Linked DNA regions of Bombyx mori. The protein of the gene in region 1 interacts with the protein of each later gene in a biochemical or structural test. Links are inferred from orthologs where the notes say so. Each region holds a gene or a part of one and is shown on either strand. Other genes may lie near its edges.

Region 1 (4,656 bases):
GCCCTTGTACTCCACCAAGGCGTGGATTGAAGTTGACATTACGTGTAAAACGAAGTCCTGTTGTTGAAGAGGTAATGGATTGTGGAGCACCTGCTGAAGCACCAGAGTATGAAGTTTTACGATTAGAAGGTGTCGATCCCGAAACTGCTAGACGCTTGAAGAAACGACGTCGATCCAAGGAACGACATCGAAAACATAGTCCTGTCCGTCCTCTGCCTCCAATGAAACGCCTAAGATTAATTTTTGGCAACGAAAGTCGCACTATCGATTTGCCTACAGCTTTATCAGCAGACTGACAGCCGCAACTACCTTATTGTTGTTTCCACCGTTATTTTCAATAATTAGTATAATTATCACTGACTAGAATTATTTTACCTAGTATTTATTTTGTGATGTAAAATTTGGAAATTTGAGTATTGTGTGATAGGTTTTGGATTTTATTTGATGATTCCAATATTTATTAAATCCAATAGTGAAATAATGTCATTATTATTTAATTAGCACAATTATTTTTCCCGTTTTCATTAAAGAACAAAAATTACAATTAAATCGTAGTAATAAATGAATTATAGTGTATTAATAGTATCATGTAAATAATTGTAAAAAAAGTGTTCTTTGTAATGGTAATTTTAATTAACTTAATTATGATAACTCACAGGATCTTAATTAGTTAGCATATTGTACTTATTGAGAAATTATTAATCAATTGTTATCCACATTGCAAAAGATAAAAGACAAAAGTTGATTACTTAATATGTAAAAACTTGTCTGTGGAAAGCAAAACTAGTACTGACATATTTGAACTAGGTATCATGGATTAATTTTGTAATGAGCATTGTTGTTGAGTGCTGACTTCAAGTAAAGTTGTTGTTTATTCCTTTATTTATCAATTACAATTATTTAGTGTTACAAACTATTGAATAAATTGTTTCGTAACAGTTGAATCTAATCCCAAAATAATGATCCAAATACATGCCAGCGTCCAGGACTAGAATGAATCAAGAGAAGCCAAAGTGTAATGTGAACTGAACCTTGAAATTTGCTTGCAAATTTGTGGTATTGATTGTTGGTTGTTTGTAAATTTCTTGTTTATCTCCAAAATTGAGTAAGCATTTTGTACTTTGACTAATACTTCTCTTGATTCTAAGCATTTTTTAAAATATCTGCCAGTGACTTATATGAAAAATAATATTTGTTTCTTTACTATTCATTATTCATATGAAGTATTTTGTGAAATATTTACAAATGAAATGGGGTTTGGATACCAATATTACAACAGACTGTTAAATGTGGTTCACAATATTTTAGAACATTGAAACTTTCATTTGGTATATCATAATGAGCCTAGTTTTATGTTACTAAGGTACAGTATAGTAATAATATTTTGCTAGTTATGGCTACTAGCTTTTGTGATATTCCCTGGGAATGGGTATAAAAATCAGAAAAGTTCCACAATGTTAACAAATTAGTGACTGTAAAATAATAATTAAATAAATATCACAATAAAATGCCTCTGAAAATTCTTTTTATACTTTATTGAGTAATTTATGTAATTTTTATTTACCTTGTAATTTATAACGTGCTTGCAAGAATATCTTGGAGTGACTTGCTTCCATTAAGTAAAATTTTTATTTATAATCATAGGAGTTTACTATTTTTATGCCAGATTATTATGAACAACAGATTTTCAACGAATTTTCAATTAAAATTCACATACAGAATTTTGTAAGAGTTATTTTATTATTACAAACTTAATAGATATTGACATGTTAATTCCCTATGTTCAGAAGATGTCAAACTCCTGTGCAGGATGCAGCTCTTCTAAATGACATTTAATGACCATACCTGTAAAAATATAAATATATTATTAATAGAATATATCTTGTCTATATTAAATGTGAACAAGTTTTGATACCTTATCATTGATTTATTTACCACTCAACCAATTTCAATATTAAAGTATTATACGGAATATATGGTAATATATCTTTATAAAATGTACTTGCTTTTGGAACTCCCATTCTCTATTGTCTAGTGGACAAACTTGTCGAGTCTTCAACCAACGGGAAATACAGTGGAAATGGAATGCATGCTGTAACAAAAACAAGCAATTAAATAAATTAGTTTTGAGTCAATAATGATTGTGTTTTCCAAAATTGGTACTCATACATTACAAACACCCCAAGCAACTGTGCATTCTTCACTAGTGGCTGAGGCTTGATTTGCTTGGCATTCGATACACAGATCCATTATGTGATTTCGGCAAATAGCACAGTTGTCGACAACAATATCTGGAAAGCAAAATCATGTTCAGAACGATGTAGAGGTTACGAAACTTTATTATCAAGAAACCTACCCCAAGCCCAGAGTGCTACTGCATTCCACTGTAACAAAATTGTTTACATTAAAACTAGAAACAACAAAGAAATTTTCAATATTAAGAGCTCAACAATGAGTTTGCAAAATGGCACCTCACCTTTTTTACTTCGAATCTTTTTTTATCTCCTTTGCCACTACTAGACGAAGCCATTTCAACTTCTTCTTCATCAACATCCATCACAGAAGCCATTTTCAAATTAAACTACCCCGTTTTATTAAAAAATAACCAAGAGTTGTTAGGTTGTGTATTATGTTTTTGACAGCTGAATCGAAATTTTAAAAACTTCATGTTGATTTGTTTTTTGACGTTTTTGACATTATTAGTGTTACAAGTACCGAAAATCGGCTTTTTATTTTGAAGATTATGGCCTGGTATCTAGACCTTTAGGCCAAAAATCGGCTTGTCAGATTAACAATGTTGCCAAGTTGTTAAATAAACTTTCCCGAAAAATCGTTTGTAATTAGAGGAATTAACATATTTCACTAACACCCGACTTTTCTATATAGTGCATCCAGATATGAATGTGTTCACCTCATTGTGTTTCAAAGTGTTATTTATTATACTGTATTTTTAAATCTTATCTATCTAAATCTTATTAATTATACGGTATTTTAATAAAATAAAAAATATTACAAAAACTATTTAAAAAAAACACTACATAAAACGATTATTGTCGCCGATGGCGGTGTCTACGACACAAGCTGTTAGGTCTCCAGAGTGAGAAACTTCCTCACAATATGCGCCGTATCAAGAATGACTGATTTTTGTACCAGACCCCAACCCAGCTGGATAACGAAAATGTTCACTATCAAACTTTGTACTGAAACTACTGGAACAATGATGGTTGAATCAACATGCCACATGGTGATAGTCTCGTGAATGAGGCCTAAATATTTTATTAATTTGTCCTTTCCTGTCTTTACTAGGTTCTCGTCATGAGGATGGTGATATCAACCAAAATTGCTCGATGTGCAGACCAATAACAATAACATGCTTATTGGCAACAATAGACCTATCCATGATAATAGATCGATTCCAGTAGAGCGTTACATGACCATTTTTAAGAATTTGCTGCTGAGGTTGGTATTAGTAATAAGGTACAGCAGAATCAACTAAGCTATATTTCAGAGCAAGCTGTTGATGGATAATCCCAGTCACTTGATTATGTCTATATCTTATTGATAGTGCTCTCACCACGATTGTTTATTTTAGTGAATTTCGCCTTTTTGTAAAGCGCCATGATCACGGTATATAAACCATTAATCACAGTAATTTTTTAATTTTTTTATTTCTCTCAATAAAAGTTGCAATGGTTTTGATGCATGTCTCCAAGCGCCGTGCTAATTTTTTAATGCCTTTCTTGAAGAAACCACGTGCATTGGAGCTAACAAACTCTTCAAAGACATTTTGTACTGCCTCTCGGGTATTGTATTTTTTCCTTGCAAAAAGAATTGTGCAACTTTGGAAAAAGTAGAAAGCTGTTGGCGCAGGTTCTGGTGAGTGGTGGATAACGTAAAACATCTAACCCTAGCGCCTGTAGTGTAGAGTCTGTAGGTTGTGCCATATGGGATCGAGCGTTGCCGTGTCGGAGCAGCGGGTACGAGTGATTAACCAAGGCTAGCCGGAGATTCGGAAATCTCCTCCATCATTGTTTCCAGTTCTTCACAGTTCACATAGTGAGTGGTAAAAAGCTGTTGAACATGACTTTTTTGAGTTACGTTTTAGTTTGGGTTATATCCTAAGTGCCAAACCAAGGTCTTACCAATATGATGATTGTTTACGGTTATTAAAGTGAATCCATTTTTTGTAGCATGTGACAGTGCGGCTTAAAATCCCTTTGTTTCTGTGTCTGGTAACCAACGCAAGGAATATTTTAAAGCCTTAATCGTTCTGGCGATCGTTGAGTTCGTGCGGCACGCACTTATCTAGTTTTTTTTTTTACCTTGACAATTTAACGTTGAAAGCTGCTGCTGACTCAGCAATAGATTGAGTAATCGTCAGCTTCCACACCGCCTTTAATTCGTCGCTGTTGACTTTAGTTTTCGACTTTAACTTTATTTTTCTGATTAAAATTACCGTTTCGGATGCCATTAAACCAATAAAGAATCGTGCGTTTGTTTGTAGTGTTCATGCAGATGCTAATAAAGTCTTCCAGGCTGAGCCCTGTCATCTTGCATGCACGTTCGGTGAAGCTAGCTAGAGTATAGCCCCTTGAGGTTATTACCAATTGGTAGGCAAAAAAAAATTGTGTTCACTCCGTACACGTAGTTAATGTT
Region 2 (5,781 bases), on another chromosome or scaffold:
GAAACCATTTGCCTTTCAATTTATTCCGAAAGATGGTAAGTTTTTGTCAGTTGCTCTCTTAATTGTAAAAAAGTAATCCAATTTTAATACCAAATTTAACTTTATATTTATGAAAAAGAGCAATGTAATCATTTCATTTTTGAACTGCAAATACATTTTCATGCCATCAGATGTGCATTGTCATTGCAATTAAATACAAGGTTGTTTATAGGTTATCAAATACATATTATTTTAATTTAATAGTTTTATTTTTGTTATTGAAACATAGTTGCAATATTGCAATTTTATTAATTGATAACATGTGACCTCCTTAATAAAAATAAACAATGTTATCAATATATTTATGCATATAATGATGAAATGACTTTTAAATAATAATTTTAAAGCTGTTTTTTTAAACATCTAATTATATTCTTTATAAATATTTGAATAAGTATGTACATAGGTAGTATTTATAATTTTCTTGGACATGTTATTCCATACCATGAGTTCTAGAGAAGTTAGTATTAAAATTAGCTTTACTTTCAATTCTTGATACAGAAACACCATTTTAGACCGTATATTACTGAGCATTAAAAAACAATAAAAAAAGTGTACAGGTATGTCTGCCTCAAACTACTTGATAGAAACTAGAACAGTAACAAAATCTTGGGATGATTTTGGTGCTTTGAGAAATATATTCTGGATAAATTTTCTGTTCAATTTAAAATGTCAATCCTTCAACCAACTTATCTTCACTGGTCATAATTTATAGTCACTTGCCTAATATACTTTCACTAGAATGCAAGTCACTTAAAGAATCATGGAGTGTGCTATGCTTATAAAATCAATTTAAGACCACATTATAGTTGTGACAATTCAGATACTGAAATTTTGAGATTAGCGAGTCCAGATAGCAAAAACCTTGTCAAACTTGTCTCAGAGGATGTTACAGAGGGCAGGTCATTCATACTATGCAGAAGACCTTACATTGCAGAGGAATAAATAAATATATAACTGGGAATATATCACGAACAGTCATCTGGCCCAAAATTAGGATTCCCCATGGTATGGGTACCAGAAATTGACATAAATACTTAGGTACATTTAAATATATACATATATAGATAATAACCACCCAGAAAAAGAACAAACAAACCTCTCCATCACACGAATGTTTGCCCGATGTGGGAATCAAACCCACAACCCTTGGTGCAACAGTAAGGACTGCTAACTACCGCACCAGTGAGTCAAAGTCAAATTTGATCAGTTATTATTATATGAATTACTTATATTCTGGATTATGGAATACTTTATTAGTCATTTTAATAATGTACGCAAGCATTACAAATGTCCAAATATTTCTTTATTCTTTGAGCAAGGTATAACCTATTATAACAAAAAACCCAAAGGCTTTTTTTTGCCTTTATACTTTAGAGGTTTTAAAATTAAAAATACTTTAATAGGGATGATTTTACAGCCTGTAAAGAAAATGTGAATGGTAAAACCAAGTAGTGTTGAATTTTATTATATTTACATATTCATATAATAATATGTAATTTTTTTCTGGCAAGGAACAGAATGCATAGAAAGCCAACCACTTAACTTAACACTTCTTTTCAGATGTGATAGTAAATTTTGGATCAGGCTCATAATATTAGTCTTAACCATTTAAAGGCATCAGAGAATGCCTACTTAAAATAATTTTGAGTTAAGGCTGTATGGCCTAGCAAATTACTATTCATAATCACTACTTGTTTCTTTAGTTACTACAAGTTGTAGACTTAATTAAGACTATTTATTTCTGTTTAATCTTGTGTTTGTGTTTACAGATGACCAAGGTGTTATTTGTTGATTTTGAATATTATAGTAACAACTATTTTATCTATAAAAAATATTTCTAGACTTTTAGATTTGACTTCACACAAAATGAACTACAGTCAAAACCGTTTACGGCGACATTGTTTAGAACAACATGCTGGTTATAACAACCTAGAACAAAGGTCCCCGCTGAATGCCATATGACCGCCTTATTAAAAACATTGCTTTATACAACATTGCTTATAACGACATACCTCATAAAACGACCACATTTAACTAATATTTCGGAGAATTAGATCTGTTAGAACGACCGGCTAAGCTGTATTGTAAACAATTTGAATAGGTATCCACATTTGTCTTCAATGGCTATTAAAATCAGGAAAGAAAACAATAGGATTTAGTTTAGTGTAGGGTCTTTTCTAATTCTTAGAAACAAAACACGTGCATGCAGTAGGTCAAAAACCGCTTCTTCATATCTCTACAGTTAGTTTATTACTTATCTATACACAAAACGCACCAAAACTTTGTGGAGTTATTCGTGAAACTTTCAAAATGTCGCAAAGAAAAAGAAAACAAATTAATATTGAAGAAAAATCGCGTATTTTGTAAATATATTTTTCCAATAATTCCCTATCGATTTGTTTGTACTTGCACGATACACATTAAACATTACCGGTTGTTACGACTATCGGTTTTTACGACTGAATATGAGCAGTCCCTTCGATGTCGTTATAACAGATTTTGACTGTAATAGTATTTCCAGATTTGGCAGTTTGTTTGACTTAGGTTTTCATCTTAACGCTAAAAGGATCCCAGGAGTTAGATAAGCACCAAATATCATAACCACAATATTCCAATATTGATAAGTAACACCATAGTCGTCTTAGACCACAAAAACTGTAAAATATTTGAAATATCAGAAACAAATGACAATAAAAAATGTGAAATTCAACTGTAAAACTAGTCATAATAACTTCATTATTGTTTTTATATTCCAATACCTAAGGTATGTAATATAAATTATCTAAATATTAATCGTTATCTAAATATTAATCGTTATTAAAATATTAATCTAAATATTCATTGACATCTCTTTGCATACTTAACTGTTCGGATGAAACATTTCACACAAAAATTGCATCTTTGGAGGACTCAATGGATAATCAGGTGGGAAGACTAATTTTGCTGGAAAAATGCCACCTTCAAAACACGTGCCTTCAGGACCTCTGTAATAAATAATAAATAAAGCAGCATTTTTTTTCAAAGAAAATTAAATTGTAAAAACACCAGTATATACATTTGTTAGGTAATTTAGACTTAAATTATACCAACGGAAAGATATCAGAGCTGAAATATAAAGTATACTACTGAAAATATGTTTATTTACTTACGTTATGAAGGCTTCCCATTCGAAGAAGTTATCTTCATTTATAGGCCCAGCTATAATACCTTCCGGCGGATTTACTGTTAATTCTGAAATTGTAAAGCTATTAGAATTACGTACATTTACATGAATGCAAAAAAAATATTACTTTTTACATACGCTTATATTCTGCCATCAACCTCCGCAATGCAGAACCAGCCATCATTTGGTCCGTAATTTTGAATGACAAAATGGTACGTTGGGGCCAAAAATTTACTCAGTGGCGTTCGAGAGCACACTGAATAACCAATATACTGCACGGAATGATCTCAGTTTGCGAGAATAAAGTTAACAGTTAATGTAATCCAATGCAGTTAATGAGGACGACAGAGAACGCTTTAATGCCCAGTGAAATTATTCAAAGTACTATTTATACTTGTCTTATCGTTCTTTTTTTTTCTGGGATTAAACTGGGGTTTTTATTTGATGAATTGTTAACGTATTTCAATGGAAACTTAATCTGGTTAAAAATACGAAGTCAAAGTATTGTACCCTGTTTTTGACTTCCCTCTGATTTGTCTGACTCTGTCATCAGAATTCAGATTTTATCGTTGGAATATTCTAATATACCGGCAAAGGAAACAATCACAAACAACCTAGCTGTTTGCAACTGAAGGATGATGCCATGTTTATTAGATAAAACCATTAGACGTAATTGATGAAATAATTTCCCTAAAAAGGGACAAAGTGTTAGAATTTATTAATACTTCAGTTAACTGCTTGGAAAAACCTGATAAGGCACATCAATTCATTGTGCCCTCTTTCAATTTTCATAAAAATTTGTATAAGATTAATAAAAGTTGAAGAAAATATAAATTCGACGTTAGCTACAATGATTTAAAAAGAATCCGATTTCTATACTGAAATGAGAAGAAGATACTTGAATCGGATACACTTTTATACTACTCGGTAAGAAATAATATATTATTCAAATATTTGTATTTGTAAACAAAGTCCTAAAGATTGTCATCGTGACTTTTTATTCATCAACGATCTTTTATTTTTATGTTCATTGGGTGACGGTAAAAATTAAAAAATAACGATATCGTCCTCAGTATTATCAACCTACAACAACTGTTCTTAAGGAAATTGCTATCGAAAATAGAGATAAGTAGGTTCTGTTTTATAATATTACATATTACCATTGGTTTCATAAATAGGTGCTTGAGGTCGATACTCTCCATATTCTGGCTAGTCACTATTTTCACTATTTTTAATAAAGACCTCTGGACTAAAAATGTCAAAAAACCCCCATAGCGCAAGACATTGCCCACTGGAAATGGCTACGTGCATAGATAGGATACGCTCTACAGCGCAGCGGAGTCAACGCAGCATCAATCGTGTTTGAGTGGCAACCCGTGGCAGGAGAAAACCTGGTCGCCTAAGTATACTTATTGACGCACCGTAGAGAACGAGGACTGCCGGTATGACCTTGAGTGATATCAAGGAGCAAGCGCAAGACAGGGTCAAGTGGAGACAGCTTGTGATGGCCCTTTGTACCAGCAGGGTACCCTAGAACTATAACAACAACAGTGTTGGTGACTTCTAAGACCATCACTTTAACTTAATGAAAATTATTACGCAAAAACATTACCAATGTCATTTGCGTTATATATGTACATTCAATGTAAGACAATAAAAATCTCACGTTTTTGGATTGCTTCGCGACGCCATCATGTGCATATTTATAAAGGCAATTAATTAAGAGCTTAATATCTTTATTTAGTCTATGGTTGTCTTCGCCTTAGATTGTTACTTCAGGAAAATCAAATTTATTTACATTGTGTACCGTAAAATGGGGCGATTCGGGACAAATTCCAACTTTATGAGCAATTTTAAGGTAGTTGTTGATGTATATAATGCTATATCAGGATCAAAATGATTGAGTCTTGGGGGCATCTTTGTTGTCTAATTTAAAATTATGCAACTAGCATTCCAGTTTAAGCAAAAAATGCAAAAATAGGTGTAATCCCTATTTACCCGAAAATTGCGGTTAATTGGGACGAAATGAGAAATTTGCTAGGGTTGGCACTACTTTTATTTTTATATATAGTTTTAATTTATTTATTTATTTAGTTGCACCAACAAAGTGATCATCAATAAAAAAAATTGAAAAACTGACAAAAGTACATGGCAGACATCACCTCAATTATAGGTGCAATCGACAGTGCTGATATTTCTATCTGGGTTAAGAGATTAGGTGTGTCGGTTATTCCATGGATTAATCAGATGAATACCCCCACTCTGAACAAATATTAAATATTTTATTAAGTGTTACTTAGACATTTTTGTCCACCTTGAGATTTTATTGATCTTGTTACATGTCTCTGCAAAATCGACTTACTTATATTAAATTGCTTATCTATTTCAACTAAAGACTTATTCCCAATTTCGCTTCGAATAAACCAGATTTTTACCAACAAATTTAAAAAATATTGTTATAACTACATAGACAACCCTACAAACCTGTACCTATTTATACTTAGGTCGTTTCCATTTCACGTATTGTCATCCCAATTGACCCCTTTTTCGTTGTTATTTGTACCTAAGACGTCCCC
Region 3 (5,662 bases), on another chromosome or scaffold:
AGCAAGGTAAAACAAAGAAAACAAAAAAGGACCGTAAAGATAAAAAAGCGCTTTCAGACTTTCGAATACGCGTCTTAGACTTGATAGATATATATTTGGAGAAGGACCCATCTATGGATATTTGTCTAGCGATGATCGCGCCGTTGACAAGATGCCTCGAATTTTGCTTACAGGACAACCAGTTGAGTGAGCTCGAAAACCGCGTAAGGAAAACTATTAAAAATCTGACGAAAATAAGGAAGTTTTCTTCGACAAATGATGTTACTGCAGAAATACTCAGCGACTATCTGAGATCGGTAATGGATAAAGGGGAAAGATCCCACTTTATGTATCAAGCTTTAGGTGATGTCGTAACATACTTTGTGACGTTCATAATACATTGCTCACAAAAAATCGAAAGCAGTAGTTTAAAGTCACCAAAAAAGCTTAAAACGTCTCCCATCATGGAACTGCTAAAGGAAGCAACACAAAACTACTTCCAGAACCGCAGTTGCTTGTTACCAATCATTCTGTTTCACAACGTTCTACAAATGGAATGGGAAGGAATTTATGAGTTAGCCCCGATCGTAATCGAGAATGTGTTCAATCCCGAAGTTAGACAGTTCCGGCGCAACGAGGGATTGGAACTTTTGGCGGGCCTGTATCGAGCCTTGAAGAGAAACAAACCCGAAACGGATAAAGCGCTCGCTTGCCTAGATAATTTGGAAAATAAATTTGATATTACATTAAGAAAAACACTGAAGGGGCAACAGCAATTGGCTGTCAAAAACAATTTCTTCCTATTACTAAAAAAATTGATAAACAGCATGAAAATTTTCCACGAGAGCTGCCATGTTAAATGTAATTTAGATTTTAATACTTTGTTAGAAATCGTAGGTTCTTGTAAGGGTACACTAAAAGCGAGTGAAAATAATAAGAAAGCTAATGCGATTAACCAAAATAGTAAAAATGGTGAAATCGCGAGTAAGCAGCCTAAAAAAAATTTAAAGAATAATATAAAAAACAAAAGAAAACTAGAACACATGAACGGACACGCTGATGCGCACGGAAAGAAAAAACGAAGAGATTCTGAAACAGTTGATTTGTAAAATATTTTTTGTATAATTTATCATTTTCACAATGAATATAATTATTTTACATAATTTAAAAATTTCGTCTTTCTTTCTTCCCTTTAGTTTAGTAAAATATTAACTCAAAATATGCATTCAAGCTTTGACTACCTAACTTTGGATATAAGTTATTCAAACATAATTTATTTAAAACCAAAGCTAGTATGTACATAGCGACATCTATAAAAAAGGTTATTACACTCTGTGAAACGCTCAATAGGTGGCGTTATAAATATCCGCTCTGAGTTACTAGACCAAATAAAGTTATTAGAAGATTGAAGTGTGGAACACATGAAATACCATTGTTTTGGATAAAATATTTCTTAGTTTTTAAGGGCATGCACTTTGTGACAGTTAAGGGATTCAGTAACTAGACTAGACTCTAATACTTTTAAGTTTTGAACAATAGCTTCATTTCTTTGCCTCCTTAAAAATTACAGAAAATGTTGACTAATCTCATCGCATTATTTAAACCTAATCAACAGAATTGTCGTAATCAATATGAAGTTTGGCGTGTAGAAAGGCTCAAACGAAGCGATATGTTTTCTTAAATTCACTAACTTCTTATGACAATATAATACAAAGCATTTACCAGAGCTCAAGAGCTTTCCTACGTTACTTAGATAGTAAAAAACAATATTGAAAGAATAATAAAATTATATTTTAGCTGTAAACCAAACCATATAATTAAGATTAATCAGTGACAGTAGAATGACACAGAAAATATATGGCAACACAAAATCAACCGGAAGTAAGTAGTAACTCATATGTTTCACAACCTGCTCAAAACTCTGCCAGCCATCTTTTGTCGAAAAATCATTTGTTTCGTGTCTTCAGGGTAAATTTCACAATTGTAATTAATGTCAGAGCCACAGTCTTCGCTTTTATTAAAAAAGCAATTAGCTGGTAAGTTCTTATTTAACATAAAACTCATGTATAATATGCCAGTCACCGCGCTAGTCAAGTTCTGAACGAAATTCGTTGACCTTATCGAGTCAAATTTGGTAACTATTAATTGTAGTATTTAACGCATTTATAGATTATATTTCAGGTCTAATGGAGTTAGGTTAATTAATGAGGAATAAACCTGCCAAATAAAATCAATATCCGTTGCGATGACAGGTACACTTTGCCAAAGTCAAACTGTAGATCGAGTGTATTTACGATTTGGATTTGGCAAAGGTTCACATTACTGGCGAACAATGCGGTTAAATGTCCATAATCTTCCGATCTGTGCATTGTCGTTTGTAAAATGAGTGTCTTTTAAATCTTTTTTTTATTTCAGAACTGAACAAAAACCCAGTAGAAGGCTTTTCTGCTGGCTTAATAGATGACAATGATATATACAAATGGGAAGTCCTCATTATTGGTCCCCCAGACACACTATAGTGAGTAAATACCCAAGTTATATATAGTTCAAAGCTATATCTCTCAGTAATCACTATTATTAATTGTTTGCATATTGTAATGTTTATAAAAATGCTGGTGGTATGGTGTATAGCCTTTAAGATGTGTAGATGTATATCATCCTGCATATTTTTTGAAAGAAGCTTCAAGTTATTCAGTTCTGATGGTTCAAGGCAGGTGGCAACATTCACATTGTGATGTCTAAAGACTCCTGTAACCACCATACAGGCTGCAAGTTTTTTAACCATCTATTTAATAAAGAAAAGTATTAAATTATGAGACATGTTGTTTATTCTTAATAAAAATAATTTTCAGCGAGGGAGGTTTCTTTAAAGCACATTTAAATTTTCCCAAGGAATATCCTTTGAGACCACCCCGGATGAAATTTGTGACTGAAATATGGCATCCAAATAGTGAGTATGATGATAATTTTTTTTAGTTAATAATAGTAGAGTATTTTTAACATTTTAAGTTTAGATTACTTTTATATTGACTTAAAGCTAAACAAACCCATTAAGTTTGTTTTGCGAGTGCTTATCATAAATTAGATGTCTAAGTATTTTTTGTTTTGTTTTGATACACTGAATTAGAGAAATATAGCATTACTGTAAAGTGCTTCACTCATTAAAATCTAAGGGTAATTTGATTGGTACAAATTCATTATGATTACAGCTAATAAATATTGTATAGAAAATAAATATGAAAACTACAGTATTTATAATTATTGAACGTATTGTTCATCCAAACGAGTCTGTACTGTCCTGACTATTTCTGTTTCAAAGCAGTGTCATTCAATACAATTGAGACTGACTTGATGTCTAAAACTGGATAATGACATTTACAAAATGGGATCTTCACTCTGGTAACTATAACACCAGGTGGACCATTACACAATTGACTCCATATATCCAATAAATAAATAAGAGTTTAATAAAAAAGCAAAGGTGAACTTCTTAGTACCATGGATTTACTATGTGGGTGCCTTCTATTATATTTTAGAGAGGAATTTATGGTGCAGGTTTAAGGAGTCCCTACAAATGTGGATTACACTCGAATTATTTATGTAATTAATGTAATGAAAATATGACTTTCAGTTGATAAAAATGGTGATGTCTGCATATCAATACTTCACGAGCCAGGTGATGACAAATGGGGTTATGAAAAAGCTTCAGAACGATGGTTACCTGTGCACACAGTTGAGACTATACTGATCAGTGTCATTTCAATGCTCGCTGATCCAAATGATGAGAGTCCCGCTAATGTTGATGCTGCAGTAAGTGGTTTTTTTTTTGCACGTAAAATGTTTCCATTTTAATTCAATAATTTCATTGTAGTTGTAAATGTTTTTGTTATAGAATATTATATTATATATTACTTAACCTATTAAATGCATTTGTAGCAATTTATATAGCTTAGAGCAGGCAGAACATGATGCTAATATACCAAATAGTTGATAGGCAAACTGTTGTTTGTGTTGTAATGTCCAAAATTAAAACTGATATTTCAGTTCGCTTTCTTTAATTGAATTTAATAATTTAATTCATTAATGAATGAATTCACGAATGAAATTTAATTCATTAATATTTAAAAATTAATATCATTTTAAACTTTCAGACACACATTTGTATATCATTAGGGAATTAAGCAGGTAGCGATCACTAACATATTATTTAAACACATCACACACAAAGACACTACTTTTGTACTAAGAGAGGCATAATATAATCTTCCCTAACTAGATATCTTTACTATTCTCGATCATTATTTTTCTGAAGTATACCTTAAAATTTTGGATATGTATATTTTTTTAACTCTTGGATTTCCCTAACAAAGAAATAAAATATTTATCAATACAAAGTTGTACTTTTATCTATAAAATATAAAATGCTTCTGTAGGAATAATTTGTATTATGTAGATAGTTGATTTAACTAACTCTCTTGTACAAACCTTTTTTTTTATTGCTTAGATGGGTAGACGACTCACAGCCCATCTGGTGTTAACCTAGCAATGCTCAGAAACAAATTATGCATAAGCAAGATATAAGCCAGGCAAAATTCAAATTCAATCTTAGTACAATTATTCAAACTGATAGAGAATAGAAACTGTTCTATAAATATAGAATCTGAACATTTAATATGTGGGCGTACATACCTTTACGCACATTGAATTTGAATGTTATTTTTAAACAGTGACACTATGCTTTTTGTTGTGATTATAAGGAACATTACAAATATACTGATTTATCAAAACTGTCCACACCCCACCCATTGTACAGTTATGACTATGCCACACCTCTGCAGAACCAATGACAAGTGTAAGGTTTCAACTCACAATATATAATGATTTTTGAACACAGAAGTAGAATAATGAAAGAAAATTTGAAAAATTTATTTTAATATTTGCTCAATTGAGAAGGTTATAATTGATAAATTTTGTTTTGAAGTATTGAAGTATAAATTAAGTATTTTGGTTCATCTTTTCAAAGAAATAATAAGTCTTTCATATGTAAACATCACATTTTTATGTTATCTAATATACTTTATATATTATTAAAAAACCTCATTCATCATCATTTCTATAATTGTGTTGTAATACTGTATTGTAAGCTACAGACGTAATTACCTCCACTTAGTTTGTGCATGTAGATGTATTTGTGTAGAACTAATCACCTAACCATTGTTTGATTCCACAGAAAGAATGGAGAGAACGATATTCGGAATTCAAAAAGAAAGTTGCCAGATGTGTTAGGAAAAGTCAAGAAGATTGCTTCTAGGAGCAAAAGGATATTTAGAAAAGAATATATATATTGCTGAAAAAGGGCCATTGTGACACCGGCAAACATTTTACTACAAACACTGAAAAACGTTATACATTTGGCATCGCCGTACGCATCCCCTTACACCAAATCCGCACACGTCCACAGCTGATGTGTTTGCTTATTCTGTTTCATTTTTGCAGAAAGAGTGGAGAGAATCCTATTCGGAGTTTAAAAGGAAAGTAGCACAGTGTGTGAGAAAGAGCCAAGAGGATTGTTCCTAATAACAGTGCCCTTTTTCATAATTTGTTTGGATTGTGAGAGTGATTGGTGAGATGTGGTTAGGACGCTGAGCGGACGCCCCCGCCTGGCCCAGAGACTATATTCAAA

Evidence for each region. The genes of interacting proteins can lie anywhere in the genome.
Region 2: the proteins of ring box protein (region 1) and ubiquitin-conjugating enzyme E2 G2 form a complex in vitro, tested with the Homo sapiens proteins (3 studies listed by BioGRID). The link is inferred for Bombyx mori from reciprocal best matches to the Homo sapiens genes RBX1 and UBE2G2.
Region 3: the proteins of ring box protein (region 1) and ubiquitin conjugating enzyme form a complex in vitro, tested with the Homo sapiens proteins (8 studies listed by BioGRID). The link is inferred for Bombyx mori from reciprocal best matches to the Homo sapiens genes RBX1 and UBE2G1.

Annotation. Positions count from the first base shown.
Region 1 is NC_085119.1:7,171,445-7,176,100, forward strand, and holds ring box protein, read right to left. Parts: upstream 2,629-4,656; 5' UTR 2,570-2,628; coding exon 2,477-2,569; intron 2,385-2,476; coding exon 2,357-2,384; intron 2,292-2,356; coding exon 2,170-2,291; intron 2,093-2,169; coding exon 2,007-2,092; intron 1,846-2,006; coding exon 1,833-1,845; 3' UTR 1,499-1,832; downstream 1-1,498. Other genes in the region: histone-lysine N-methyltransferase KMT5B, read left to right, coding at 1-296. UniProt on the Homo sapiens protein: E3 ubiquitin ligase component of multiple cullin-RING-based E3 ubiquitin-protein ligase (CRLs) complexes which mediate the ubiquitination and subsequent proteasomal degradation of target proteins, including proteins involved in cell cycle progression, signal transduction, transcription and transcription-coupled nucleotide excision repair.
Region 2 is NC_085107.1:15,234,403-15,240,183, reverse strand, and holds the start of ubiquitin-conjugating enzyme E2 G2, read right to left. Parts: upstream 3,782-5,781; 5' UTR 3,390-3,781; coding exon 3,344-3,389; intron 3,274-3,343; coding exon 3,192-3,273; intron 3,027-3,191; coding exon 2,908-3,026; intron 1-2,907. UniProt on the Homo sapiens protein: Accepts ubiquitin from the E1 complex and catalyzes its covalent attachment to other proteins. In vitro catalyzes 'Lys-48'-linked polyubiquitination. Involved in endoplasmic reticulum-associated degradation (ERAD).
Region 3 is NC_085122.1:9,585,683-9,591,344, forward strand, and holds the start of ubiquitin conjugating enzyme, read left to right. Parts: upstream 1-1,881; 5' UTR 1,882-1,969; coding exon 1,970-2,015; intron 2,016-2,394; coding exon 2,395-2,497; intron 2,498-2,831; coding exon 2,832-2,929; intron 2,930-3,610; coding exon 3,611-3,789; intron 3,790-5,209; coding exon of another isoform or gene 5,210-5,290; exon of another isoform or gene 5,291-5,475; coding exon 5,476-5,556; 3' UTR 5,557-5,662. Other genes in the region: myb-binding protein 1A, read left to right, coding at 1-1,088. UniProt on the Homo sapiens protein: Accepts ubiquitin from the E1 complex and catalyzes its covalent attachment to other proteins. In vitro catalyzes 'Lys-48'-, as well as 'Lys-63'-linked polyubiquitination. May be involved in degradation of muscle-specific proteins.